6 linked regions of the Oryzias latipes genome follow. The protein of the gene in region 5 purifies or fractionates together with the protein of the main gene of each other region. This does not show direct contact. Links are inferred from orthologs where the notes say so. Each region holds a gene or a part of one and is shown on either strand. Other genes may lie near its edges.

Region 1 (4,735 bases), on a different chromosome or scaffold from region 5:
TTTTAGAAAAATGTAAGATGGCAGCCTCTTCCGGAGGTCAAAAGTCTTGAAAACTTCAGTTGTGGTTGTCGAAATTTTGTGAAGATCACATGAACTGAAGTTTCATTTTCCCATGTTGTGGGAAAATGTGGCAAATTTCACACTTTGCCACAAAATGGCAAATGGTCTTGTGGCCATCCCATAATACTTTTTAAAAAATCCTTTGGATGTGTCCGACATGCGTGCTTGGGTTTCGTTAGTGGAAATACTTCTTTTGAACCCCATTACAGATTTTGACCCCATTCATTTTTGTAATGGTTTCTCCCACTGTGATGTCATCATTTTTCCCCCTCTTTTTTTTTCTTACTGCTTAAAGGCAGAGTAAGAAAACTTTGTGGGGAAAAAATCTGGTCCTCCTGTCTAAGAATACTGCCGAACATTAATATCATGATAAAGTTATAATAAAAAAATTTTTTTTTAAGATGTTAACAGTTAAACATCAAAGCGCCGCCTTTTTGATCGCATTCACACCCAATTTATAAAAGGCTGGATTTCCATTGGTCACAATATTTGCTGTTTCAATGAAGACATTTGTTCTGTGCTGCAGAACCAGACCTGTTGCCGTGTTTACACCTAACATTTTCCCGCCAAACTGGACTCTTCTCCAACCATGCGGGTGTGAGGCACATCAGAAACCAGGACTCCGGACTCCGGCGGAACCTCCTTTATGCTTTATGAGGAGGCAATCCGACCGGAGGAGAATTCCCCCCCCATCTCCACGACAACAGCCTCTCTGTTTGTGCCGTGTAACCTCAGATGCTGAGAAAGCGCATTCGTTTCCGCCTTCGGAGGTCTGGGCGTGAGGACCCAGCAGCTGGTTGGTTGGCAGGTCAACCCGCCTCTTTTTCTCTAACTAATCTGGTTTAGGTTCTGCCTGAGGGAGCATGTGACCTGCCTAAAGCTCAGAATCATCCTCCGTGGTCATTATTCCCAAAATCCAGCCGTTCTTAAGGAGAACTGGAAGCTTGTGGGAGCACAAATCTTGAAACATTTCCTGAACATTTATGCTGAAATCTCTTCTAAACCCTTCCATGGAGACATCATTTTGACAGGAAACAACAGGTTTGCATTTTCATGCTCAGCAGACAGACGGAGACTCACAGGATGAGACTTCATCTCCATCAGGTTGTCCAGGATCCGAGTGACCGGGAGGTTCTGGAACAGAAATCCACCGTGAGACACGCTTTTTGGATAAAAAAAACCTCCTTTAATGCCATTTGAATTTGCCAGTTTGACTAAACTCCATTGAAGAAATTCAGTTCAGAGCTTCTCTAAATGCTTAGGAAGTTCTGGATCTTCAATGCTCTGAGTTCAGCAGCTTTCGGTCAGTCCAGAATACTTTGACCTTTGACCTTCATGACCTTACACTGGGCCACCAAACTGAATCAAATCTATTCATTATCCTTAGAAATTCTCTATTTTCCCTGGAATTCTGGTGTTTTCGCATAGAAGTTGTTCAGCCTTCATGCAATTTCGGACGATTCCATGTTTTTCGACGCTCGTGTGTGTGTTTTTCCCAAGATGGACGGTCATTTTTCCCATCCTCTAAAATTCTCTAAACATCCAAACTGGTACTAAACTGGTACAAAAGCAACGATTTCGGAATTAAAAACTCCAAAATGTTCTGTTTTACAATCTGTCCATTATTTTTCAATGAAAACTAAAGCATGTCTTCATCCAGATCCCATCTGATTTCTTTCACATGTTCAAAACACTCCATGCATCTGCATTTCTGTCAAATCTAACCCCCCCTTTGTAGCCCAGGAGTCAAAAAGTTCGCCCACCTCGGGGCTAGCATATTTAACCTTTGTGTACATTTACTGCCGTTATGTAAAAATGTAAATTAAAAAACAATCAATAGGCTAGCATTAAAACATTTAGGTGAATTTACTGCTGTGGTTTGATTGGCTCTGCTCTCTTGCAGCCATCAATGAGGACGGACCCACCAATTTAAGTCTATGTGGTTGTTTTTAAATCACTTATAGCTTGTGTTTGCATGATCTGAGCTGACGTTTGGGGTCCAGTAGGTTCTACTGAGTTGGACTCACGTGCTGTTTGAGCACAAGGTTCTTCACGCCCTCCATGACAAACTGGGAGCCGGTGTTCATCACTCTGGAGAAGAGACTGAGGAGGAGAAGTGGAAAAACAGAGATGAGGAGGAGAACAGGGTTACGCTGGTAGTCCAGACCTTTGGGGAGGTTGCAGACTTATTTTTCTGGAGTGTGCGTTCTCCTGCTGTGCGGACAGATGTGCGCTTTCATGGATCGCGTTTCCAAATGCTGCTGAACTTCAGCGACGGCCCGCCCAAAGAAAACATTTCTGTGACAAAAAGCTCAAAGGGCTTCGGAGCTGGTGGACTCACCCCATGGGTTTCACCCCGCTGTTTCCGTAGTTGGCAGGGTTTGCCATTTTGGTGAATGCTCTGAAAAACAAAAAAGACCAGATTGACTCTTCTACAGATACGAGGGTTCGAACATACAGCTGTAAGAAAACACAGGAAGATAAGAAACGAGCACCATTGGTGGATATTTTTCAGTAAAGGCAAGAAAAAAAGGAAAATCCTGGGTCAGAAAACTTTCAAGCAAACCAAATCAAACATGGAGTCTTGACGAGTCTTTAAATGTCTGAGAATTGTTTAAAAATGTGTTTTTAATCACCATATTGAAATATTTGTGGAGACACAACATGGACCCCGATGAGGAACCAGCTTCTACTTAAGGGGGGAAATGCAGATGACATTCCACCTCAGAACATCAAGACGATCTAAGAACTGAGTCTTTGGACAAAAACCAGATGAACGGGGGATGAAATGCTGTCCAACCTGTAAAAATGTCTTCAACTAACCTGACGGGGGCGCCACTGGACTTTCAATGAAATGGAGTGGAACTAAAGCCTGAAGTTTGGTGTGGAAACTCTCAGATCCTTACAGAGGAGCACCACAAACCTCATCTGTGGTGGAAGTTACATTTAACTGCCCCTTCCCCCAAAAGGCCTAGCACCATCAGAACCCTGAACCATCAGAGTGATCAGAGCAGGAACTTACTTCCACTGTTTAATGTAGTTGAGAGGTGAGAGGTCACAGCCCGCATCCAACAAGGCCTTCCTGTACTGCTCCAAGTCCAACTGAACACAGGAATATAAGTGGGTGGAGTTAGATCGACAGTGGGTGGAGTCATATCGACAGTGGGTGGAGTTAGCTCGACAGTGGGTTAGATCATCAGAGGGGGGAGTTAGATTGACAGTAGGTGGAGTTAGATCAACAGTGGGTGGAGTTAGCTCGACAGCGGGTGGAGTTAGCTCAACAATGGGTTAGATCAGTGCTTCTCAAATAGTGGGGCGCGCCCCCGGGGGGGGGCACGAAGCGATGCCAGGGGGGGCGCGCGGTGGTGGCGGTTTTAGGCACAGGTTTGTCCGGTGCGCAAATTTAACGTGGGGGCAGCGGTGACAGCGGCTCAGTGCTTGGAAAATAATCTGGTCCACTATTCGGTTCCTATTGTCTGTTCTGTCTGTCCGCGGCTGCGCGAGTGAGAACGAAAGGGGAGGGGTGGTGTGGGCCCTGTCTGCCAGGGGAATCGGGGCACGCGGACCACTGCTACCGCTGCCTGTTGCCCAAGATCACCGCTGCCCTTAGATTCCTAAGCTCATGCTAACAATGTCATTCTTTATGAACTATTGTAGACATTTTGATGACGTGTCTTTATTTTCCATCCATGTTTTCTTTGTCTGCCTGTGGTTTAGTTGGTTTCAGACAGACAGAAAGACAGCAGGTAATGCAGGAAAACAGCTGCACTTTTATGAGATCAGAAATAAACAATCCGTCATTTAGAAAAAAAAAATCAGCACGTTTTTACCTATTTCTTCAGACTAAAAACGTTAAATATATTGGTGCTGCTGTGTTAATGTTTCAGATCAATTTAGATTTAATATTATTTATTGATTGAATTATTTTTTTCAGCATCAAATGGTTCAGTTGGTCAAAATGTTTCTAGTTTAAATAAGGAATGACAGATTTTTTTTATTTCAGGTACTTTCAGCTTCTTTTCTGTTTTAGACTAGAACAGGGTTTCTGTGGCTAAATAAAGTTAATATTTGTTGAAAGTGGATTTATTTTGCTTTTTTCTTTTGTTAGTGTTAAAAGATACAATTTTAGGTATACAAATTTTATAGATACTGACCTGATGTATTGTCACCGCGCGAGTGTGTCTGTGTGTGTGTGTGTGTGGGGGGGGGGGGGGGTCAGGGGGGGCGCGAAACATTTTCTTTTCCTAGGGGGGGCCTGGCAAAAAATAATTGAGAAGCACTGGGTTAGATCATCAGCGGGTGGAGTTAGATTGACAGTGGGTGGAGTCAGATCGACAGCGGGTGGAATAAGATCGATAGCGGGTGGAGTCAGATCGACAGTGGGTAGAGTTAGCACGATAGTGGGTGGAGTTAGCTAAACGGTGGGTGGAGTACGTTAATGGTGGGTGGGGTTAGCTCAGCCGTGGGCGGAGTTAGCTCAGCGGTGGGTGGAGTTACATCATCAGTGGGTGGAAACAGATCAACAGTGGGTGGGGTTAAATCAAATGTGGGTGGGGTTCTGATTTACCTCAGAGGGAGCCTGCTGAGCTGTGATGTAGTAGATGAGGAAAAGTCGCATTTTGTCCTCCGGTGTCCCAGCTGACAAAAACATTCACACACATCACTGAGTTCTGTG
Region 2 (4,735 bases), on a different chromosome or scaffold from region 5:
TCACAGTCAGATATCTCTGTCACATTCACACCTTACCGGATAAAAAAGATGAAAAAGTCCATCTGCAGTCACACATAATTTTCACCTTTGCTGTTTAAAACATTTGCTCTCTTTTAAATAAATCTTTTATTGTGAATGAGCTCATCTTAGATAACAACTTAGATTGCCTTTTTTTTACTGAAACCTGGCTTGGTACTGATGCTCCTGTTGTTCTCACTGAGGCTTCCCCACTAAAATTTACTTTTTATTTTCTACCAGGGGAGATAAAAACAGGGGGCACACTAATTACCTATGGTCTGTAGTGTGTCCTCTGTTGTTGACATGCCTGTTTCAGATCACTATTGCGTATTCTTTAATATCACTAGTTTTACTCGACATGAAGCTCCAGAGAGAACTGTGAGGAAACGATACATAACTCCTGATGTGGCTGCAAATTTGATCAATATTTTACACCAAACTCCCGCTCAGATTTTACCTGCATTGTATGATTGAACATTTTAACAACAAACTACAGTCAGACATTGATGCTGTAATTCCACCTGAGTCAAAGACGGTGAAAACTAAAGCTACAGCACCCTGGAGAAACGGAGCCATCAGAGCCATGAAACGTGAATGCAGGGGAGCGGAGAGGCAGTGGAGTAAAACTAAATGAACTGTATTCAACTCAATTCAATTTTATTAATATAGCCCAGTATTTACAACAATAGTCGTCTCAATACCGGTAACAAAATAAAGTCATAGAATTCAATGGGTAATGGCTAAACTAAACTAAAAAGACTAAACTAAACTGGGCATCCCTGCTCTTAGACCCCCTGTACATCAACTGTTCATCATTACATTTTTAAAAAACAGCAAAAAATGTACAGTCATGCAATAAAAAAAGCTAGAACCCTCCACTACTCAAACTTAATTATACAAAACAAAAATGACCCTAAAGTTCCCTTTAAAACAATAGATACTATAGCTAATAGAGATTCTCAGAGGTCCTCCATACCAACATCAGATGCTATTTGTGAGAGTTTTGCAGACCACTTCAGGAGTAAAATCAATGCTATTAGACCTAGTCTTTTAACTCAAAAAGGTGTTGTTTTTAATGAATCTATAGCATTGTATTCATCAGAGGAAACACAGGAAAGTTTTGTCCAGGTTGATGCTGTGGTATTTGGTCATGTTTTCTCCCAGTTAAAGCCAACCACCTGCCTTTTAGACCTAATCCCCACATCACTGTTAAAAACATTTTATGAATTCTTTGAGTTTGAGCTTTTAAATATAGTAAATGACTCACTTCAGACAGGTGTCTTCCCTGTTGCATTAAAACGGCAGTGGTGAGGCCTCTTCTGAAGAAGAGTCATTTGGATCCAAACAACTATAAAAATTTACGACCAGTATCCAACTTATCATTTTAAGTAAATTGGTAAAGTGGAGTTTTAAATAAAATGACAGTTTTAATCGAATTCAATGAGTTTTTAAACAGAAATAACATCTTTCAAAAGTATCAATCTGGTTTTAGGAGAAACCACAGCACATACACGGCCCTTGTTAGGATAGTAAATGATATTAGATCAAACCTTGACTGCCAGAAACTCTCAGTCCTGGTACTACTGGATCTGAGGGCTGCATTTGACACAGTAGATCACAGTATTTTACTTGACAGGCTGAGGTGTTTAGACATAGCTGGAACCATTCTGAAGTAGTTTTATTCCTGTCTCACAGATTGAAATTTTTATGTAAGTATGGATACATGCTCCTCAAAGGTTTTTGAAATCAATTGTGGGGTCCTCCAAGGATCAATTTGAGACCCACTGCTTTTTAATCTAGATATGCTGCCACTTGGGGACATCATCAGGAGGCGTGGCATTTATAAACTCTGCATCGCTTTGTCTCCTGATGACGAAGAGTCAATCAACATACTCTTAAAATGCATTTCAGACATTAAGTCATGGATGGCAGAGAACTACAGCTTAACCAGGACAAAACAGATGTTTTAGTGATTGGTTCTGTAGGCAAGAGAGAGAGATTGTTTTATCAAAACTAAAAATTGACAAAACGCCTCAGCATGTGAAAAATCTGGGCGCCAGTTTTGACTCTGAGATGAATTTTATTCCATAACTTAAGTGTCCTGCTGGTTTTCCAGAAACCCTGCCATATCGGCTGCTGATTACCTGGATCAGGTGTGTTTAGCCAATAAGGAGCTTCAATGGCAGGTTGTTTGGAAAACATGTAGGCCACTGACCCTCGAGGCCTGGATTTGGGCACCCCCGGTCTAGAAAAAGACCAAAGAGGAGTTTCACGGAGAAGGAAGACATCAGGATGGATGGAGTGAGTGAGAAGGATGAAGAGAAGAGAGTTGGAGGATTTCTTGTGGCGCCCCCTAGAGGGAGCAGCCAGACATGTTTTTTTGTGGAAGGATACGAGGCCTGTAGGGCGAGGAGCTGAGCCACCAGCGCCTCCAGCTGGCTGCTGCTGTCCGGACAGTTGGCAGCAGGACTCAACGGTTGGTTCGGCGAGATGATCGGCCAGTGAAGCTGAGTCAGAACCTTCCCAAACTCACTAAGAAGACAAGCAAAGAGGTGTTCAGTCTTTAACATCCCAGAAGTGAGCCTTTGGACGTGAAGGTGGACTGGGCCGACCTGCTCAGGCGCTCCTTGATGATGTTGTGCCAGAAACAAAGAGTTTCTCGAAGGAACTTCTGCAGGTGAGAACAGCTGGAGTGGTTGAGTCCAGAGTCCAGCGCCGCCAATTGGTCCACTACCTTTATGGCTTCACAGACGCTGTTGACCATCAGGCGCTGCTGGACTGCAGCACTGCGACACACAGACACACTCACTGCTGAGCCATCACAGCCCCCCCCCCCCCCCCCCCTTCACAGAGACCTCTATGGGGGGGTCAGGGGCCACAAGCCTCCATGTTTACAATACCTGAGTTCCTCTATGTGCTGCAGGCACTGCAGGTACTTCATGGGTCTTTCTATCAGATCAACCTGGCTGAAGACCCGGCTGAGATCTTCCATCCACTGCGACGCCTCCTGCAGATGCTGCAAAGGCGACATGCAGTTACAAAAAATACCGCATTTCTACTTTAGGAAAGCAATACATTTAGCACTAAGGGAGTTTACTGGATCCTTCTTGCTCTTTCCAAGTAAATCTCTGGTAAATACTGGAAACTTAGAATCCTTAAACTTTTGCCAAAAGAAAATGATTTTTATTTTAACAGCTGCTGTTTTGTATTTTCGTTTCTCTTCCTCTTCACGTTCCGTCCTCAAGTTAGAATTTTTGGAGTTGAGCCTAATTTTATGTGGATGTGGGGCTTTGAGCCCATTGGCTATGATTGACATCTGGTGGTAGAGGTTATGGTGACGCAACAGCGTCTGTTGTTGGCGCCGCCTGTGCCGTCCTTCCTCTGATGAACCACATTTTGGGGGAGCATCATCACTACAGTACGCCACTTCAGACCCTAGTCTTTCATCTGGTTTTCAGTATTTCTTCAAATGCACTTTTTTTTCAACTTTTCAATATCTATTTCAAGTATACAACATCTACTTTTACATTTGGAACTGTTTATTAAACTTAATTTTGTTTTTCAAATTCTAATCTGGTTTTTAATTCACTTTAAAGACCCACTCCGTTGAAAATGGTGTTTTTGACGTTTTTAACATGTTCTTTCTCATGATGGAGGACATATATAAAAAAAAAATTTAAGATTAAAACTGTATTTTTTTATTCAAATTGTGACAATCAGAAGCATATGAAAAAATTTTGTTTTGAAAAAGCTCTAAGTTCTGGCGTAGATAGAGAAATGGGCGGGGCCACAGTCTCCCTGTTCTGCTCCATTCTGATGCATCCACCTGCAGACAAATAGATCCATGAACGTCTTTGTTTTTCTCGTCTGAGCTGGAATGTGGATCCAAACTTCACGACTGGATTGCTACGATATAGCTCACCGTTTTTGTTGCATCGCTAATGTTAGCTTAAAGTTGTGGTAGCTGTAAGCTAGCGGGAGTGCGTCTAAATAAAGGGATGATGGGATATAAGCAGAGGCTTACCTCTGCGCTTACAGTCCCGCCCACAACTCAGAGGTGAATTTCGAATTAAATCCTGCCGCTCTGCAGAAACTATGTCCTAGAAAATGAGTTTTTTAGATTTTGGCTATAAAAAAAAAGATAAATCGTCATTAAAAGACAGTTGGAAAAGAACGATTTGAAAATAGATCAAACAATAATCAGAGTGGGACTTTAAGTTGATCCTCATTTGACCCCATTTAAAATCTTCTTTTACTTTGGCTTCTCCCATCAGGGGTTGCCACAGTGAAACAACCCTCCCTTGAGGAAGGTCACATGGTTAACTTGGCAATGTTTTTATGCCGGATGCCCTTCCTGACGCAACCCCTCTCAATCCAACTGGGCTTGGGACCGGCACAGCAGCAGAGAGGGGAATAGGGAGCGGCCTGGATTTGAACCCTGGTTTCACGGACGGAAGGTGCCGCAACCCAGCACGAGCTAAACCGGCCCCCATTTGACCCCATTTAAAATGCACGAACATTATTAAATGGAATAACACTTGGAAAAGCTTTTATTACTCTCAGCAGAGAAACTTAAGATTTGTATTTAATTTCATAAAACACGTCTGAAAGCATAAGAAATTGGTTTAAATAAGGAAAAAGATTTAATTTGAAAAATTTCCTTTTAAGTCTCACTCTGATCATCTTTTGATCTGATTTCAAAGCGTTCCCAGTGGTC
Region 3 (4,303 bases), on a different chromosome or scaffold from region 5:
AGATTTCAGAATATCGGGCATTCGTTGATTTACAGGTCACATTCAATGGTCGGAGGAGAACACAAATAAGCAGAGGAAAAAAATGCAGAATGTTGAGACAAAACATCACAAAAAAAACATTTTAAAGTAGCAAAGTGACCAAAACATGATAGGAAAAACAATCATTTTAACCAAAGAAGTGCAAAATATGAGAAAGAGCACGTAAATATAAAGAAATAATCACAAAAAGACATTATAATCCGCAATAAATAAGAAATTACCACGTGTCCAAATAGGATCTTTCATAAAGCACAGAATTCAGGCAAAAGAGTAACAAACAAATGGTCCACCAAAAAAGAAAATAATTTTTTGAACTAATTTTGTCTTTAAAAGGGTTTCAATTCATAAAAAGTATAATTTACTGTGCTTAGAAACTCTTTAAATAGCAAGTTACTATGCTTATCCATCACACGTGTAACAGAAAAACCATTAGGCATAACAAAAAGCGTACTCGTGTAGACATGCCCGGGGGGCCTCAAGGGGCCCCTGGTAGCGGGTACCCCCATCTTCCTTTCTGTCGCGCCCCCAACTCAAATGTCCTTCAAAGAAGCCTGAACTGTAATTACCAAGTCATGCTAAAGACTGCTTGTTGCGGCTGCATGAGCAGCTGGTTTGACGCAGAGGAATGATAATGAATGGACATCATCTCTGCGTGAGGACATGAGCAGAAGGCGCTCATCACACTAAACGCTCACACATCATCGGATGCTCATTTGACTAAAAACAAAAAGCAGCACAGATGTTGGTTTGAAATATGCCCCTTGATATTACAATTACCGGTATTAATAGTTAAAACACATTTGTTTCCTTCTAATAATTTTCTTCTAATTTTGCGTTTTATACTATAATTATTGGGGAAATTTGCCATTTAATATAAATAATACCAAACCAGGATTTTTACGATGGTCATTTAGTTTTTAATCCTGAACCACAGTGCCACCTAGTGGTAATTTGACCTCACTAATCCATCAACACAAAAGTTTTTTTTAACTTTAGTCAAAAAAGTATTCGCAGAACACATGGAAGTTCCTTGATTAAGCTTTTATTGGATATCTGTGCTTGATTACACACAAACATGAACTTATGTAGGAATTTTGGCCAATTTAGTACTGTGATTTATTTGTCTGAAGAAAAAAAGAAAAGAAAAATCAGAGAAATAATCATTGTATTCCAATGGTGCAAGTTTTCCTTCATCTCTTATGTTTACAATCAAAACTAAAATATTTGAGATATTTATTTGATATTTAAGAGGTGTTTTATAGAACAATTTATCAAATGAAATGTAACTGTGAATCAAAACCAAAGAAAGTACGTGTAAGGCAAACGTGACTTGAGCTTGTTTACTGCTTGTTTTTCTTTTTATACATCAACTGGGGTCAGATCCGGATCTGTCCTTACATCAGGAACATCTTTAAAAAATTAAATAACAACAAGTCTTTTTTTTCAACAGATGGTTTCCTTTTTATCTGTAAAATATTTCACATTTTATTTTGAATGACAAAAACTTGGTGATGAAGAAAATCTATTGTAAAAATTAAAAAAAGGAGTGAAAGAAGATTTTCCAAAGACAAAAAAAAAAAGACAGTAAATTGAACTGAAATGAAGGGTCAGACGTGGAAATGTCAGAGTGTGGGTCCTACAGCTTTTTAAGCTGTTGGTTTGTGTTACTGATCTTCCCATCCATCATGTCCACTTTGCTTAGAAGTGAACCAATAGAGTCGTCCTGGCTGTCAATTTCCGACTGGAGTCCAAGTCCGAGGTTCTTCAGTCTTTGCAAGCCTCCACACATTTCATCTAAATCAATCACAGCAGATGTGGTTAAAGAAGTCACATTTCAACCACATTTTTTTCAACAAAAAAACTGAACATATCCCACAATTCATCACTGTGTAAAATCACTTTTAACCCCCATTACCTCATTACATTTACTTTAAGACTATATGACAAATATATCAATTTTGGGGTAAATTTAGCCTTTTTATTCTTTGCAGCGTTTACCCTGTTTAGTAAGGTTTGCAGTCATTTGCTAATACGAACATCTCTTAAGGTGGACTGTTTGAATGTGCACATATAACACTTGTGTAAATGGCATATACCATGCTATTTTTAAGACTTTAATAGTAAACAATATCCCACGAATATGATAATATTTTACCTTTGGCACACAAAATAACAATTTTTTTTTTATTAAATACGAGTTATTTTCGCAAGTTAATTTTCCAAGTTGGAAGTAAATTGACTCAGTCTCTGAGGCACCACCTTTCGCTCCTTGTGGGTGCCGCAAATTTCATGACATCAACCTATAGTCGGCCTCGCTAGCGTGTCTGCATTTCTCCAGACTCCTCCTGTAAGGTGCAGCTCTCACTGGTCTTCGTCAGCTTGTGATAACCCACTCGTTTTTGTGGATAAGGAGGGGCTGGTGCTCAGAGAAACGTTTTTTAGAGGAATACTTAGAAATGCTTGAATGGATCAGAATACCGGTTTGGGGTTTCTTTTCATAAGGAATGAACATTATAATATACTTAAAGCTCAAAAAATAGATTTTGCATAGGCCTCTCAAAAAATCATGCAGCAACAGCTGCTTGTTTGGGTGCAGTGTTGTCTGAAAGAAACTCTGACTACAAAGTGTGTTATGTTGCATTCATAGTGTAATGAACCACACCAGGGTTCCCTTGCAAATGAGACCAGCCAGGCCCTTTCAGGCAGACCACATCGTGTTGATCAAGCATTCTTATTTAAAAGGAAGTTTAAATGTCATTTTAAGAAATTACTCAACCCTATAACCGAAATACAAAGTGTCCTGTTAGATTTCTTACCCAAGTTTTTGTCAAGGGTCTGATGAGCCTCTCTGAGGTGTTGGTTCTTAGGGTATCCATTCTGTCTAGGTAAACCCCCATCTACTGAGGAAGAAGCTCCAAAACCTGGAAGCGAAGATCACAAGTATGTAGGATGTACTGTGACACGTTTGAACATTGACATTTTCATGTTCATCCTTACCTGATGTTTCCAGTTTCCTCAGGTTGGGGTGGCTGGCTTGATACTTGTCTTCATATTCTCTGCTGTTGGACAGAGCGCTCTGTAACCTAAAAAATAACCCACAGAAAAAGTATTCATGTATATAATTCAAAACCGTTCATATAGACAGTAGAAAATAGTATCATATCATAGTAGGAGGTATTTTATCTGACCTAGCATTGGCTCACATTTATGGAGAGCTTGCATTTTTGCATACTAGCTCAAGGTGACTGTTTTTGTGACTTTATTGTTGTTTATTGTTATATTTTACATCCATCCAGAGTATATGACTGCTTTGTAAACAGTTGTGAGAGGCGGTTTGTTTGATAATGTTTCTGTTGGGCTCTCTACATGGATTCGTCTGTAGCTGTGCTGATATTTAAGGACGTGTGTAGGAAGAAGTGAAAGCACCTTCCTTAAAGAACAGACAAGATGTACAGAGTAAAAATAAAACAAGTCCACTCTGGCTTTTGAAAATGTTTTGTGCATTCTGGTGTAATGAACAAATATGGTAAGTTTTCCAAAAGCAGATTCGGTTTAATCAAATGTAGTCTTGGTAACACAGTGTACAAAATAAAATGCCCTTGAGCAAGGCTCTTAACTCCTACTCAGAGCTCCCAGGAGCAACAGTAGTTTCACTTTGCAGCTCCCAGGTGTCAATGTGAAACTGTTTCAATGTGAAACTATCAGTGTGAATAAAACATTCTAAAAAAAGTGGGCTGCCTTTCAGATAACTTTTTTTTTATTCAAAAGTTTCTTTAAAAAATTAAGAAATTGAAAAAAAATTAAATGTATTTTTAATTAGTTAACTTTACAAAACAATATTTTTTTATTCGAAATATAAAGCTTTTTTTGTAAGCATTTTTTTTCAGAATTGTCAATCTTTTCCCCCCAAAACTGATTTAAGACTTTTAAAAACAGACTAAAATTTGAGACAGAGATCACTCTCTTGTCTTGGGGGTTTTGAATATTATTCCTGTAAATGTAGGACAAGATTGAGCCTGAAAGGTGTTAGAAGTGAGTAAAAATAATCACCAAACACGTAAATGACATGTTGGATTCTCTGAAAAGGAAAGTTGTGTTTATAAGAAGCTGAAACCAATGTTAAATAAGTAAGGTAAGAATATTTAAAAAGATTCTGGATTTCAATTAATGTTAACTGTAAAATGATGACAGTCAACAAGCACTTCTAATCTAAAGAAGAAATAAGTAAAGCGTACCTTTCATTGGCCTGGTAGGTCGTTGGCTC
Region 4 (4,735 bases), on a different chromosome or scaffold from region 5:
TACCGGCCAAAGCAAACCCGGTTTGTGCAGAGTGGGGACTCTGGTGAAAACAGCACGGCCATAACTGCGAGCCAGAAATAATGAAGCAAACCCAATGAATACAATGTGGTGAAACAGGCCAAGGGCATTCGGCGCTGCTGCAGTCAATTCCTACAGGTATTACATTAAAGAGATTGCTTCATTTATTCCTGAGTAAGCTTCTTGGCCTCATTGGACAGTGCAAAAAGCCTTCTGCAGGAGTCTGTGTGAGAAACCTCACATGTTCTTTATCTCAGTTCCAACATGATAAATGTAGCTCAATCCCAATTTCCCTCTCACTCTCCTCAAAAACAGCAGTTTTTTCTGGTCGGTAACACCTGATCCTTTAACAGTTTATGCTTTAGGCTGCATTAAAACCACTAGAAGTTCTCATGAGGTTAACTTACATTTAGCGCCAACGCTGAAATCGACATAAAACAGAGCAAATCGACAGCGCTCTCAGTTGTCAAAATGATGAAAGAGAAGGAAATTTGTGAAATAATTATTTAAATGTTGAGCACAATTCCTAACACGCCGTCGTCTCCGGACTGGTTCAGGGTGAAAACTGATTTCAAGACTTGTAAAGCTTTCTGCAGATGTCCAGATAGAAATATTTGAAGAACGATCAAGTCTAACAGAAACACTGTTGAGTCTGTGGGACAACAGCTGCAGACAGAGACAGTCAAGAAAAGGCCAGAGGGCCCTAAAAGAGGGCCCCTAATCAACCCACACTAATAATCCTCTAATCGGAATATTGAAAGTAGCAGGAGTGGTCTTTTTGTAATACATAAATAAATAAAGTTTTTATGCAAGTAAATTAAATTCAAACAATAAAAATGCTTTAAAAAGTGATAACATAATTAAAACAAACGTGAAGTTAAAAATACTGTATATATAAATAAAATGTGAATTAAAAAAAACCGTAAATAAAAGCAGAAATAAATTAATACACAGACAAAAAAGGAAGTTTAATTAAATAAAAAATAAAATAAAAAAAATGTTGAAAGTGACATTTAAAAAATAAAATAGCTATAAATTAAGTAATTGATTAAATAACTAAATATAAATAAAAATATACAAATATTAAAAGTGATTTCTTATTTTATTACTTTTTTATGCAACTTAGTTAAAAAAAATCTCTTAACTTATCTGTTCAGGTGAAAATACTAACTTCATGAATAAATGTATATGAGGTTCAGCCAGTCAGTTCAAAGAAGGTCCCACAGTTTGAGATTAAGATCGTTTTTTTGTTTTTTTATCATCTTTGAGGCTTTTATTTGCAAGCTGCCCAGTGGAGTTCTTTGATGCACAGATGGAGCTTTGTCCTGTATAGAAAATCGTGGTCTTCCTGAAGAAGGAGGACTTTGTTCTGCGCTGCTGTTTGAAGAAAGACTTCTAAAATGTGGGAATAGTCTTGGGAGTTGGGTTTAAATCCATCTTTAATCTGAAAAAATAGCTGCTCTTAAAAAAAAATAAAATAAATAAAACTCCAGCCCATAACAGTACCTCATCTGACCCTTACTGCCACCTCAATCAGAGTGGAGCTTTAGATCTTTTGTACTAATGGACACTCCAGGGAGGTTGCAGTTTTAGAACATGACAGCTCTGAAAAACTTCCTGATGGCGTCCCTTTAAATTCTCATCAAAGCTATGTCCAAAGTCCTCAACTTCTCACTACATAATGCACTATGAATCCAAACATCCAAAATCGAGTGCCCTAAAAATTTCCCAGAAGTCTCTGCGAAAACCCAGCGTGAATCAAAGCTCACTAGATTGGCAAATATAGACCAAGCTATCTGTGCTGTCCGTCATACCTGTGTGCAGGATGGTAAACAGCTGCCGTGATGCCATGTGGATAGTGGGTGGAAAAGTTGAAGGTGTGGTTCTCTTGGAAGTTCTGATTGGTTCCCACACTAAAGAAAGAGATCAACAACAAAAATCTATCTTTATTCTAGTTTCTCTTTTACACACAAACTCTGACATTTAAATGGCTACAGAGGTATCAAATGCACTTTCTGTGGAAATTAAGAGAGTAAATCAGCTTTTCATTCCCTTTTTCTGACATGAATTTACAGCTAAAGGGAGGTTCTGGAGTACAGGGCATTTTCCGATTTTAGTCAGCTTTGGGAGGCTTTGGATGACAACGTTATTTCAGCAAATCCGCCTTGAAAAAAAAACATATAACCTCCAAGCTCTCGTCTTATATCATGAAATATTAAATAAAAAGTGATCTAATTTAAAATTATTTTGAAAATCCAAATCTTCAGGGTGGGTTTGAGTCTTTGCAATCAGCTCAGAAACATACTCAAAATGACAAAAGGCAGTAAGAAAATAAAAAACTTTTCTTTTTCTATAAACAAGCTTTTTACACTTTTTATTAGGTTTTGGCTCATTTGTAACATTTCAGTATTTGCCCAGTAAAGCCTAAAACCTGTGACCACGTGTGGGAGTCATAATTGCAAATTTCCAAGCACATAGCATTAATCAGCACTGCCATCGCCGACTTGAGTAAACTCTACTGTGCTCTTGTGTAAGCAGGCGGTGGCTCAGCGATGGACGGGGGAGAAATGGGAAAAGTCAGGAGCAAAAATTGCCTTTGAGTACCTGTCCATGGCATAATATCAGAGGTAATTACTTGTAACACATTTTCTGAAAAACAGGTAGGCATGCATACAGCTGAAATGTTACCTACTTAAAAGGCTGAACGATTTAAATTGTAAATGAAGCAGAAACTCATTTTAAACTTCTCAAAGATACGGACACTGACAGGCAACGCAATTGGGAATTTAAAAGTTCTTTAAAGCCTTCGCTGCAGTTGAAAAGCTAAAATCTATATAAATAATGAGTGAAAAGGCTCAATGTTTTAAAATGAAATCATAGCGCAGGCAGGTTGACATTGACAAGTTTGGCATGTAGTGCAGATTCTCAAGTGACAGAAACTGGAGCCTCTTTGAGCCGTCATCGGGCGAATAACTGGGTCCATCCTCAACATGTCATCAGGTCATCGCAGAGGAAAAATGAGACAACACAAAATATCTATACAGTTAATGCAAAGGCTGGCTTGAAAAAAAGGGATAAATTGAACCAATTTGACCTTCACAAAATCCATTAATTGCAGTTTACTCGCTTAATTAGCTCCAATTTACAAAATTCTGGCAGAGATGTGCCACAAACTATAAAATAAACACAGTTTGTTGTTTTTTTATCACTGCTGACTTTACATTACCCACTACTATACTTGCAGCATTGAGATGATCCTGTGTGTCTTTTATTTTGAAAGGAAGTCCTGCAAGCCTCTGTCAAAAGTTATAAACTGCTTTATATATATTTTTTAAAAGCCCATCTTTCTTCATGTTTACGTTTCATTGGTTAATTTGTATTTATCATCAGAGTAACAATAACTCAAATCCAAAGCAGTGTCTTATTTTTCTAAAGGCTGACGTAAGACTTTGTGGCTCTTAAAGGGTTTGTGGTCACTAAGAAATTGATCTGAATGGCGTGTTGAAATGTTGCAGACCCCTGCATTAAGCCAAATCAAAGAAAGGAGACATTTTGAGGGAAAAAGGGGGGGAAATTTGCTTTCATTGTGCAGTTACATCACAGCTAGATAAGTTATTTAAACGAGTTTTAACACGCTTTTGTTTCTCACCTGACTAAGTAGCTTTTAAGCCCTCCACTGTATGTGATCACAAGAAGTTCAGCTGACCACTGAGCGCTGGCTGTGTACTCCAGGAAGATCAGGCCTGCGACTGCACAACTGAAATCTCCGGGAAAACTCACCACCTGGATGAGAAAAAGGACAGAAGAGGAGTTCATTGCAGTTTAAGTTCACAGTTCTCGTAACAAGATTAAAAAAAGAAGGGGGCAATGTGTGAAGAATAATAAATCAGAAAAGTCAAATAGGGATAGAAAACAAGAAAGATGAAGGTTGAACATTGGAAAACCTACATTTATGCACCTCTACTGCAAAACTGACTCATCTTTTTTTTTTTATCTCATCCCCCTGAAATCGCAGTAAGGCAGTAACAAACAGGAGGAAGGGTAAAGTATTGCTGAGGGGCACTGATGTAGGTGTGCGAACACACTCTGCGCAGACACACACACACAACAAAGAGGAAGTGCGCTGAAGGAACAACGATCAGAGGCTTTCAAAAGGTAAGGGTGTCTGGGGAGAAGGACGAGCGTCTGACAGAGGGGCGCAAGAGGATAATGGACAGAAAATGGTAGAATAATGATATGTGGAGCTTACATGGCGTTAAAATGTGGACTTGGAGCTTGGAAGAAAGAGTAGAGTGTGTGAGACGAGGCATAAAGGGAAGACTTGGGGAGAACACTCGTGAAAAATTTACGATGTGAGGTGAGGAAGACGGCGCTTAGAAGAACAAGACACAGAGCGGAGAAGGGAAAAGAAGACGAGGGGCCTAAAAAGCAGGTGAGACAGACAAAGAGGGGGCCGGACGTCTGGAAGGGAGACATCTTTATAAGGTTGTGGTTACTCCAAGGTGCTGAACAAACACATCTTTTCACAGAAAAGATCAGAGCTGCCTCAGATGTTAAACACAAGAATTATAAGACTGATGCTTTCATTAGAATTAAAATTTATTACAAATATAGTTTAGAAGGAGAGGTTTATTTGGTTACCGGGGGGATGACAAAAAGTTCGCCGCCCATGAGGTCAAACAGCCGGACGGTGCCAGTGCTGTCGGAGTAGGCCAGC
Region 5 (5,339 bases):
TGTAGCGTGTTTTTGGAATCATACATGGAAAAAGGCGACGCTGGCAAAAAAAAAAAAAAGCTGCCCAATGTCAGGGCGTATAGAGAAGAACGGACAGAAAAGTTTGGAGAGAGGTGGATGAAAACCGCGACTTAACTTTAAACAGTCGAGGCATTCCAGACTTGCAACTTCAATTTCTATAAAAACGGTTCAGTGAGATGGTCTGAGATGATAGCTCCAGCATGAGGGAGACAGCGGGAGGTTAGCGGGGTGAGGGGGGCCAGAGGCCAAGCACCACAGGGTAGGTATGAGTTTCTATTGAATCAGCAGCAGAGCTTTTATTAAACCGCCGTATTTAATGCCGCTACAAAAGTACACGACCAAAACGTGGCTGGTGCAGATCTTCTCATGTCGTCTTCAGGCTGATGGTTGGTGACATTTAAGATTTTACTCCCCCGTGGGAAATGTGAAAGTGGTTCTTCAAGGTTTTATTTGAAGACATCTGCTTAAGTCAGATAAATAACTGCTGGGGCAGAGCAAAGGCCGTGTTGCCCTGTGAAAAACGGGTGCACACTGATGTCTTCTAAACTCTTCACCAAAAACTAGTCTTTATCGGAATATTAATCTATAGCTGGAAATTTGGAGAAAAGTTTATGTTCAGCATGCTGTCAACTTCCTCCGCCTTCTGTGTTCTTTACTGACCTACACCAAGTCTAGAACATCCAGAATTTGGATTCAAAGACCCATAACTCTGAAGATGGTTATCACACCGAACGCAATTATAATGGGGGCGACATACAATGTTAAGCCAATGTACAGACTTGATCTGAGGTCCGGCAGCGTGATTGTAGCGTCAGGCGCAGCGAGGCAGACCGGCAGCAGTGCGTTTTGAGTGTCGCAGCACGATTTGGGTGTTGTGGCGCATCCAGAGTAAAAAAAAAAATCTGACTTTTGGCGAGGTTGAGGTGTCACTTCACCCATTTGATGTGTTAAGGGGTGGAGTAAAAATCCACTGTGGAGGATCGGTCCAAGCGGCCTTGTCCTGATCTACCATCCATTTGCTTATCACGCTACATCGCTTTTGGGGCTGCAGGGTTGCCAGAGCACATTCTGGTTATTGTTGGGCTAAGGTGAGGCACACCCTGGACAGGTTGCCAGTCTGTTGCAGGGCCCATGGGGCTGAAGTGACCCCACCCACTGCACCGACCCCCAGGAGGCTGACGGGGGGGCAGATGAGAGAGCAGCCGCAGCTGCTCAGGCCTTCTGAAATTTATGATATTTTATTTATTTGCTTTAAGAAAATAATAGCGCTCTTGCCTCACAGCAAGAAGTCCTGGTTCAAGTCCCGGCTGGGGGACCAGAAACAGAACACCAATGGGGGACCTTTCTGTGTAGAGTTTGCATGTTCTCCCCGTGCATGTGTGGGTTTTCTCCGGGGACTCTGGCTTCCTCCCGCCATCTAAAAACATGCTTAATTGGTCCCTCCAAATTGTCCATAGGTGTGAACGTGCGTGTGCATGGGTGAGTGGTTGAGGCCCTGTGACAGACTGGCGACCTGTCCAGGGTGTCCTCTGCCTTCGGCCGCAAGACGCCGGGATAGGCTCTGGCAGCCCCGTGACCCCGAAAGGGATCAAACAGATTAGAAGATGAATGAATGCATTGAGAAAATAATTTTTAATAAATTCCGTCTCAGATTTTTTCGTAAGGGAAAGTCAAAATTAGCTCTTTTTTATGACTCTTTTAAAGCTGAAGTAGACAAGCTTGATATTCAACGATGTCGACTGTTAACTGTCCACATGGGAAAAGCAGCAGACATGCAGGTAGCGAAAGGGAGAAGATTCTTCTTCTTCTTCTGCGTATTTACTGTTGTCTACCACCTGTAATAGGAAGAGGCTCAGTGTGCAAAGTGAAAGCTGTGAAAATCCCGCAAATCTTGCTCCAGACGTTTTGTTTTCACAGCTTTGTTCCTGTAAATGTCCGTCTTGGAGTCCGAACACAAACCGCAAATATTATTGTCTCCTTCGAAATCATGTTTACAACGGTTGGTACTTCCGTGGCGGACGCCACCCTCATGTCACTACTAAATCCGAGTCTCAGATTGGTTGCAGGACTGCGATTAAGTGTAAAATTGTTTAACCAGTTGAATTTCCAGTAGTGAGCATGGTGACCGAATTGCTTTGAAAATTCAGGTCACTATATAGTTTTGCAGTAGTTAGGGGTTAGGGTGGGAATTCGGACACAAACACTGTGTTGGTGCGTTCATTGCAGGAAATTATTTTATTGTTGCAGGTGTTAATGATTTCAAGCTCCCATAAGGAAACAAATGTAAACATTTATTTGTTATTTGAATGCAACAAAATGACTAATCGTCCTCTGAAACATTAGATTTTCCACTTTTATCAATCATCATAACAGGCATACAGGTACACAGATATGTATTTAAAATTAATTACATGTATATAATTGATGAAGATTTCAAATTAATATTATTTTATATGAAATCTGTATCTTAGCTATAGTATTTTTTACAGGGTAGTTAGTCTGTTAATAACATCAATCAATCGCTCAAGATTTTTTTTTCAACTACGTTCATCTAAAAAACGTGTAGTCTTTTAGGGAAAAACTAGTGCTACATTCATTAATGCTCACATTTCCAGTAATTGCACAGCAAAGTCTGTAGATTAAAAAAAATTAGGTCAAGTTTATGTTTTTTATGAGGTATTAATTTAAAAGCAGCAACTTTTTTAAAATTAAACAGTTGGGGTACTAAACGACTTAAAAACAGCCAACAATGGTTGTACTTATACGTTTTTAAAAGAAAAAGTAGTGGTGTGTACATTTGTCATATAAAAGGCAATGTTTGTAGAGAAGTTTTATCGTTTCAAATGAGCTAGCATCATCATCATCATCATCATGCTATCGCTAGCTAAGAGGAGCACTCACCACTTCTTTCGCTCTCTGGGTGAAGCCGCTCTTCGTTCTGCTTCTTTTGAAAATCTCATCTTTCGTCGAGTCGAACCCGATCCCTATCGCCTTGTTTCTGGTCTTCACTGTCTTCACGCTGGCTTTAAAAAGCAGAGTGATGTCCACAGCCATTTCTGTGCACGCGCCGCTGTCAACAAGGCGACACGTCATCGACCGGTGACGTCATCAACATGAGACGCCGCAGCGGATTTTTCCCTCAAAGGGGAAAAAGGAAAAGCCTTAAACAGGTTTGCACCGATTAGGATTTGATTTCCCATTAAATCAACACGGAACTTAACCAAAACTCAACATTTGACTGTTTCACTTTGAATTAGGTTGTATATAATGGAAAAACAATAACAGAAAAGGACTAATCTGAAATTATAGGGTTTTAGAAGCGTTAAGGGGAATATCATTTTGAGAAAAATCTAAGGGTTTTCATGAGTTTCTATTTTGTTTAATACGTTCTATTAATGGTTGTTTTATGTGTTTTCCTCGCAGACAAATGCCTCCACAGCCAGTGAAGGGCTCCACCAGCAGAAAGAGAAGACCCAACTGGACTGACCCGGAATGCCTTCTTCTGGCTCAGTTAATACAGAAAAAGCAGAACATAGTCAGAGGAAAGCAAAGCACCGGAGTATCGGTTCAAGACAAGAGGCATGCCTGGAAGGAGATAGTCCAAGCTATTAATGATGCTTTTCCACAGGTCCAGCGCACAGTTTCCGACTGCAACAAAAAGTGGGAAAACCTCCTTGCGAAGGCAAGGGAGGAGATAAAACGACAGAGTAACAAAGGTCAGGAAACATGCATTTTCTTTTTTAAGTTTAGTAACATTGTGCATTTCTGACTAATAGCAAACTTTTGTTTTTTTAATGTTGCAGAAGAAGAGATGTTATTTGAGAAACTTAGTGCCGTGACACAGATAGTTATTTCTGTGTTGAACATCTCGGAGAAGAAGATGCAGGAACAGAAGAAACTTCGTGACGCAGATCCAGCGGAAAATCCAGAAAACAGGCAACACTTTTTCCCCCCCCTATTTCTTTAAGGATGAAAATCATGTTTGTGCGAGTTTTTTACATGTTCTTGTGGTATTTTTTTCATGATGGAGGACATACAGTGGGGCAAAAAAAAAAAGTATTCAGTCAGCCACCAATTGTGCAAGTTCTCCTACTTAGAAAGATGAGAGATGCATCCACTTGGAGATAAATATATCCATGTACGTCCAAGCCGGAATCTGGCTCAAAACTGTACGACTGTTAGGTTGGGGGTGTGAGGGGCTGTAAGCTAGCAAAAGAGTGTGTAAACAAAGGTGTGATGGGAAGGGGAATTTCAAATTAACTCATGCTGCTCTGCAGAAACTATGTCCTAGTCAACGACACACGTTTTCTGATTTAGGCTAAAAACGGCAAAATCATAATTAATAGATAATAACGCTATGAAAATAGATCAAAAGAGGATTGGAGTTTCGAATTGAAGTGTAATTTTCTTTTTATATGTGTTAATTTTGGAATTAACTCTAAATTGATCATTGAATATCTTCTGCTTCATCCTGCAGCTATGCTGAAGATGGAAATTCAACAACAGAGGAGAGCACGAGCAAGCAGGCGCTGATAGAGGTAGAACTTTCAGATCCGGATCCAGATCCAGATCCAGATCCAGATCAAACCATCACTCCAGACTATAAAACGGCTTCAACAAAGATTCCCACCTCCCCAGCGAGACATGAGGATGTCTGTACCGATTCCAATGTCCAAAGCCCTTGTTCTTCTTCTTCATCACCAATTTGCAGACCTGCTGCTCTGCAGGAGAAGTTTAATCTGGAAATGTCTGTACTAAGAAGACAAGACAAAGTTCTCAAGCTGCAGGAGGAGTATTACGCACTTAAAATAAAGCTGTTGAAGAATCAAATCAAAGAATTCTCTCAAGAAGACTGAAGTGACCGGGCTTTTTTGTTGCCGCCCCCCAGTTATGAAATAATATTCTTTCTGAGCTGCACATGACATCAGATCTACTAACAGGGGGGGGGGGGGGTTGTATGAGTATAGGCCAAGTATGTGTTTAATATTGAGAAAATATTTGTTTAATGTCTTGTCTTTTTGTCTTTAAAATGTGATTGTTTTTATGAAAAGCACTTTGAGTAGCATGACTTGGAAAAGTGCTATAGACATGAAGTTTAATTTGATTTAAGACTTAGTTTTTTTTAGAATGACTTTTAACACTCAGGGGTCCGTAGCATCTTATTTTCTTAGATTTGCTTTGTTTCCTATGTATTTTATTAGTTTTAGTAATTGCATGCTATTGTTTTTTTAAGTATTTGTTCTTAATATGCTCAATGTTAAACTTTCTTTTTTAGTCCTCTTTTTTATGTGAGGTGCTTTGTAAATTGTTAAAAAAAA
Region 6 (4,735 bases), on a different chromosome or scaffold from region 5:
ATTTAGATAAAGATAATAATAACAATCCATTTTATCGAAAGTGCCTTTCTTGCCACTCAAGGACACTGTACATTACAGAAAAAATAAAACCAATAAATAAAAGCAAAACGGATGGATGGGCAATCAAAGAAGAAGGGCAGATTTAAAGAGGTGGGGTTTGAGTCTGGATTTAAGGATAGGTAACAAGTCAATGATACGGAGGTCCAAGGGGAGAGAGTTCCACACTCCAAGGGCCGAGTGGCTGAAGGCTCGGCTCCCCATGCTGACAGGCAAGAGTCGGGGCAGGCGGCAGGCAAACAGAGTCAGAAACAGAAGACCAGGTCCAATGAAGGCAGAATGGCACAAACAATACTTTGCATAGTAAGCTATGGTTGATGAAGAGAGTCAGGTGTGTGGCTTCATGGGAGCACTGAGGGTTGCTGGGAGTTGTAATAATAATAATAATAATGGATTAGATTTATCTGCGCTTTTCAAGACACCCAAAGCGCTTACATTGTGTCCATTATTCATTCACTCCTCATTCATACTTGGTGATGGTAAGCTATGGTTGTAGCCACAGCTGCCCTGGGGCAGACTGACAGAGGCGTGGCTGCCATTTCGCGCCTACGGCCCCTCTGACCATCACCGGGACATTCATGCACATTCACACACCAGTGGAGCCACACTGGAGGCAAGGAGGGTGAAGTGTCTTGCCCAAGGACACAATGACATTTGGCTGGTGGGAGCGGGGAATCGAACCGCCAACCCTTCGATCATTGGACGACCCGCTCACCCACCTGAGCCACTGTCGCCCCAAGTAGTAGTGTGGTTAGAACTCTGGGGACGGCTCTCGCTGGGGACCAGACTTCTGTCAACTATAAAAAATTTTTCTCTAAATTGGTCAGAATTCAGAAAGAAATTGGAGTTCTGCCAAAACAAAGTCAAACCGTAAAAAAGGGGGAAAAAAATTAAGAAAAGTTTTGAAAAAGAAAGTAAGAACCGGAGAATAATGTCAGATATTTGAAAATAAGGTCAAAATTCTGGAAAAAGGTAAGATTTTTAGGATTAAAGTCAATATGTACATCTTTTTTTTAAATACCTCTGTTATTTTTTGTAGAATCAGAATCAAATTTGTTATTGTTTCTGAAATTATACTTTAGAAAATGACCCATAATTGTCCCTTTCCGCTACTTGGGCATTTGAAAGCAATAAAAGGTCTGAGAGAAAAGAGAACAAAAAAAGAAGCAAGAGATCACATAAAAACCATGAGAATGTCTGTTTTTCCAGAATTAAAAAAACAAAATGGAGAATTTTTGAAATTTCTGATCATGTTAGTGATGAAAAATAGCCTCCTCAAGTTGACTGACTTATCTTTTCTTATTTTTTGAGAGAATGTTCTTGCATTCTTCAAGAATCACAGAGCTCTGAAAACCACAGAGCAAATTCTACTTAGATAAAAAAAACCTTTTAAATGGGGTGTATTTTGTGAAGAGACCTTCATGAACATGCTGAAGCCCGTCTTGAGCAGCTCTGTCAGGCCTCCAGACATATGCTCCATGTCAGGACACTCAGACCGGTCGAGGCGGAACACCTCCTCCAGGATCTGCTTCAAGAAGGGACGGTAGGTGGCCTTTACATGGAAAAGTCAAGCACAAACATGTGACGATTCATAGGCAATGCAAACACCAACATAGGGTTTTTACACATAAGGCAGTATTTTCTATGAACATGAGGACATCCCCTGATTTTAGCCCCCCCACACACACACAGTGGATGTCTTTGTTTATCCCACATCAGAGGTTTGCATTTCTGTGTGAGGCAAACAGCTCGCTGAGTCACTTCATGAGGAGGAGGAGAGGGACAGCAGAACGGTGCTCTATTAAACACGGCTAAAAACAGCTCATTGATAACCTTGAGTGGGAAACAAAGACATTAAACCACTTCTGAATAAACACCTTGCAGCTAAATTCAACCCAAAACTCCCCATTTCTAAAATGATGAGAGTTATCTAAAAATACCCATTCTATTCCAAACACAAGTATTTTTGGAATAAACCATTGGAGTATTTACAACAACTCAGTTTATGTGCTTGACAACAGCAGACACAAAGAAAAAGGCTAAAGTAGAATCCAGTTCTCTCTTAGTCAGACAAACGTTCTTGACGAAGCACAATTTTATAACCTAAACTACTTCTTAATAAAAGTCTTTTATTTATGTGAGAGAAAAAACTGTTTATTTTGAACAAGGACTAAACTTTCTCTAACCAGCAACTCCTGCAAAATAAACCCTTTATAGCCCTCAAGGTTGCAGGATCAGGAATTTAAGGTCCAACTGTTTTTTCTCAAAAGAGAGCAGACTGTTTCTCTCACAGAACCTTAAAGAATTATTTAAGATCAGAACTGTGTGTGACTATGCAGGTTAAGCATGTGTTTAAATGTCTATCTAGGATATCAGTATTTTTTCTACCTTTCCCCCTTTGGAGGGGGAAAAATGTTCATCCCCCCACCGCGAAAAAACTGTGACAAAATACGCCAAATATGTTCAACTTTAATACCGTCTCAAAACATTCCTGCTGCTAGAGACTAGAACAATTAAATAAAGGATTGTTCACTCTGTAAGAAGAATAATATTGAACCTATATGAAAAAAGAAACACAAAATTGTGTTAAAGGCTGCAATGTGCTTTGTGCTATACCTCTTTTCAAAACCAGGTTGCAGGTTTGTTACTGCAACTCTCAAGTTGTGCTGAGCATAGCTCTGTTCTTTGATTTCAAAGTGGCAACAGCAGAAACTCTTACAAAGGCTACGTTCACACTGCAGGGCTTAATGCTCAATTCGGATTTTTTGAAAAAATCCGAATTGTTTGCTAGACCGTTCACATTTCCAAGTAAATCCGAACTTTAGTGATCTCCAGTGTGACCGTGACACGACCCAAACGAGACCCGCATGCGCAGAAGCCAGAAGAATACTCAACGGTGAACGACGTCACTTGTTGTTTGCGGAGCCAACGTTAACAATGGATGTCAACAACAGTGTTGTCAAAAGCGGAGCTCTTTTTGTAATATTAAATTTATTTTCACAAAGGAGCAGCACAATTACAATCTTCTCATTTTAAGAAGGCAATGGAGTCGGGATCGTCTGTACCCACTGTTGTGGAAGAGGAATGTGTATGTGCTGGAGCCGCGCGCCCGCGTGTGTGTGTGCAAGCGCGTGCCGCGAGGCGTCGAAAAAAAAAAACGAACCCGAGGCGTTTTTTTTTTTTGACGCTTTGACGCGTGGCGTTTTTTCGCGTCGGTGTGTACACTCACATTGGTGCCCTTTGTTTAGTCACGAGGCGTTAAACCGGCGAAATTCGTCCCGGTGTGAACGGGCCTTCAGGGTGGAGTCTGAGTGATTTCATTGAACTGATCCTCCTCAGCAGAGCTCAAACCAGCAGCTGCTGCTGCGTTATATGGATCTGCAGCCAGTCGTAATGAGCTCTGTTGTCTGGGGAATAAGAAAAATCCTCGCAGGGAAGACACGTACAAAGTGAATGATCCTTTATACAAGGAATAAATAAATTACATAAAGGATCATTCACTTTGTATGTTGTCAACCTGTGGGGCGCCACCCTGGGAGGCGCGGAGGCATTACATCCACTATACATGCAATGTATAGAAGAAAGAAAGGCAGGTGTAGGTATCCAATCATCAACTCAAGCATCAACGGCATTACCGTTCTTATAAGACGTTAGAACCGCCGTTAACAACAATAATTATGTTTTCAAATGTCACGGTTAGGATTAGGTTAATGCAAGTGATGCAAGACCCACGGATATGAGGTCTTTCATGTTTCACCGCAAAAAGAATTCCGACGTCCAAATATGGCCCCCTCCTCCCAGCCTTGTCCCACCGGGTGACTCACACCCCCACCGAGATGCCTCTGCACCACCCCAGTTTTACAACCACTGCATTGAACTGTTGATTCAAGCATCACAAACACACTTCCATAATGGTTTATATCATTGACTGTATCGAAAAAACTGGACTGAGTGACCCCTCCCCCCATGACGTTCCAAACAGGAAGTACCTGCTGGCTCCAAGAAGCTAAAATCCCATAGACCTCTATAGAGAAATTAACAGCTGTTAGTCATTCTTCATGCTTCAATAAAAGCTAGTGGTCTCAAGCATTGACTGTAAATGAGAACTGGACCAAGTGAGTGTGATGTCACCCATGGAAAGTGGCTTACTTCCAGCTCCAACCAAATGAAATCAATTCAGTAGCCATTTTATATATTATCATTTATACGGATATAGTTTACTCTGAAAGGTTTAATGGGCCTATACCAAATTTCTTAAGCCTCATAGTAAACAGTATGCATATGATAATAAATTACCTTTGACACACCAAAGAACACATTTTTTATTAAATATTAGTCATTTTCCTGAGGTCTCGTCTTTTCCGACCTGGAAATAAGACCACTTGAACTCTGAAGCACAGCCTTTTGCTCCGTGTGGGTGCCGCCCATTTCATGATGTCAACCTAGAGTCGGCCTCGGCAGTGTGTCTGTGTTTCGCCCACAAACATCATCCAAACTTTTACAAAGATGGATGTTCATAACATCCCTTATGGGCCGCCCTTTTTTCCCCGGGGTTCCCCCCTCCTGGGCGGGGGCGGCGGGCCCCTGCCTTGCTCCTACCTGGACCAACCGTGGGCCGGGTGGGTGGCTGCCTGGAGTGCGGAGCGGGTCTCCCTTGGGGGGTCCTGGCTCGTACCTG

Evidence for each region.
Region 1: the proteins of stx18 (region 5) and scfd1 purify together in Homo sapiens (affinity purification with mass spectrometry; 5 studies listed by BioGRID and IntAct, counting the BioPlex papers as one, with this or other methods). This does not show direct contact. The link is inferred for Oryzias latipes from reciprocal best matches to the Homo sapiens genes STX18 and SCFD1.
Region 2: the proteins of stx18 (region 5) and rint1 purify together in Homo sapiens (co-immunoprecipitation; 6 studies listed by BioGRID and IntAct, counting the BioPlex papers as one, with this or other methods). This does not show direct contact. The link is inferred for Oryzias latipes from reciprocal best matches to the Homo sapiens genes STX18 and RINT1.
Region 3: the proteins of stx18 (region 5) and snap29 purify together in Homo sapiens (affinity purification with mass spectrometry; 3 studies listed by BioGRID and IntAct, counting the BioPlex papers as one, with this or other methods). This does not show direct contact. The link is inferred for Oryzias latipes from reciprocal best matches to the Homo sapiens genes STX18 and SNAP29.
Region 4: the proteins of stx18 (region 5) and nbas purify together in Homo sapiens (co-immunoprecipitation; 5 studies listed by BioGRID and IntAct, counting the BioPlex papers as one, with this or other methods). This does not show direct contact. The link is inferred for Oryzias latipes from reciprocal best matches to the Homo sapiens genes STX18 and NBAS.
Region 6: the proteins of stx18 (region 5) and scfd2 purify together in Homo sapiens (co-immunoprecipitation; 3 studies listed by BioGRID and IntAct, counting the BioPlex papers as one, with this or other methods). This does not show direct contact. The link is inferred for Oryzias latipes from reciprocal best matches to the Homo sapiens genes STX18 and SCFD2.

The regions. Positions count from the first base shown.
Region 1 is NC_019880.2:2,574,258-2,578,992, reverse strand, and holds part of scfd1 (sec1 family domain-containing protein 1), read right to left. Parts: intron 4,699-4,735; coding exon 4,628-4,698; intron 3,163-4,627; coding exon 3,083-3,162; intron 2,462-3,082; coding exon 2,402-2,461; intron 2,164-2,401; coding exon 2,088-2,163; intron 1,195-2,087; coding exon 1,141-1,194; intron 1-1,140. UniProt on the Homo sapiens protein: Plays a role in SNARE-pin assembly and Golgi-to-ER retrograde transport via its interaction with COG4. Involved in vesicular transport between the endoplasmic reticulum and the Golgi.
Region 2 is NC_019881.2:11,291,775-11,296,509, reverse strand, and holds part of rint1 (RAD50-interacting protein 1), read right to left. Parts: intron 3,035-4,735; coding exon 2,919-3,034; intron 2,805-2,918; coding exon 2,631-2,804; intron 2,551-2,630; coding exon 2,413-2,550; intron 1-2,412. UniProt on the Homo sapiens protein: Involved in regulation of membrane traffic between the Golgi and the endoplasmic reticulum (ER); the function is proposed to depend on its association in the NRZ complex which is believed to play a role in SNARE assembly at the ER.
Region 3 is NC_019867.2:6,082,646-6,086,948, reverse strand, and holds the end of snap29 (synaptosomal-associated protein 29), read right to left. Parts: coding exon 4,275-4,303; intron 3,123-4,274; coding exon 3,037-3,122; intron 2,961-3,036; coding exon 2,856-2,960; intron 1,834-2,855; coding exon 1,676-1,833; 3' UTR 1,066-1,675; downstream 1-1,065. UniProt on the Homo sapiens protein: SNAREs, soluble N-ethylmaleimide-sensitive factor-attachment protein receptors, are essential proteins for fusion of cellular membranes.
Region 4 is NC_019882.2:14,748,841-14,753,575, forward strand, and holds part of nbas (neuroblastoma-amplified sequence), read right to left. Parts: coding exon 4,660-4,735; intron 3,802-4,659; coding exon 3,668-3,801; intron 1,932-3,667; coding exon 1,833-1,931; intron 1-1,832. UniProt on the Homo sapiens protein: Involved in Golgi-to-endoplasmic reticulum (ER) retrograde transport; the function is proposed to depend on its association in the NRZ complex which is believed to play a role in SNARE assembly at the ER. Required for normal embryonic development.
Region 5 is NC_019863.2:30,759,783-30,765,121, reverse strand, and holds the start of stx18 (syntaxin-18), read right to left. Parts: upstream 3,131-5,339; 5' UTR 3,115-3,130; coding exon 2,923-3,114; intron 1-2,922. Other genes in the region: uncharacterized protein LOC101155681, read left to right, coding at 3,449-3,737, 3,825-3,957, 4,499-4,877. UniProt on the Homo sapiens protein: Syntaxin that may be involved in targeting and fusion of Golgi-derived retrograde transport vesicles with the ER.
Region 6 is NC_019862.2:905,350-910,084, reverse strand, and holds part of scfd2 (sec1 family domain-containing protein 2), read right to left. Parts: intron 1,610-4,735; coding exon 1,475-1,609; intron 1-1,474. UniProt on the Homo sapiens protein: May be involved in protein transport.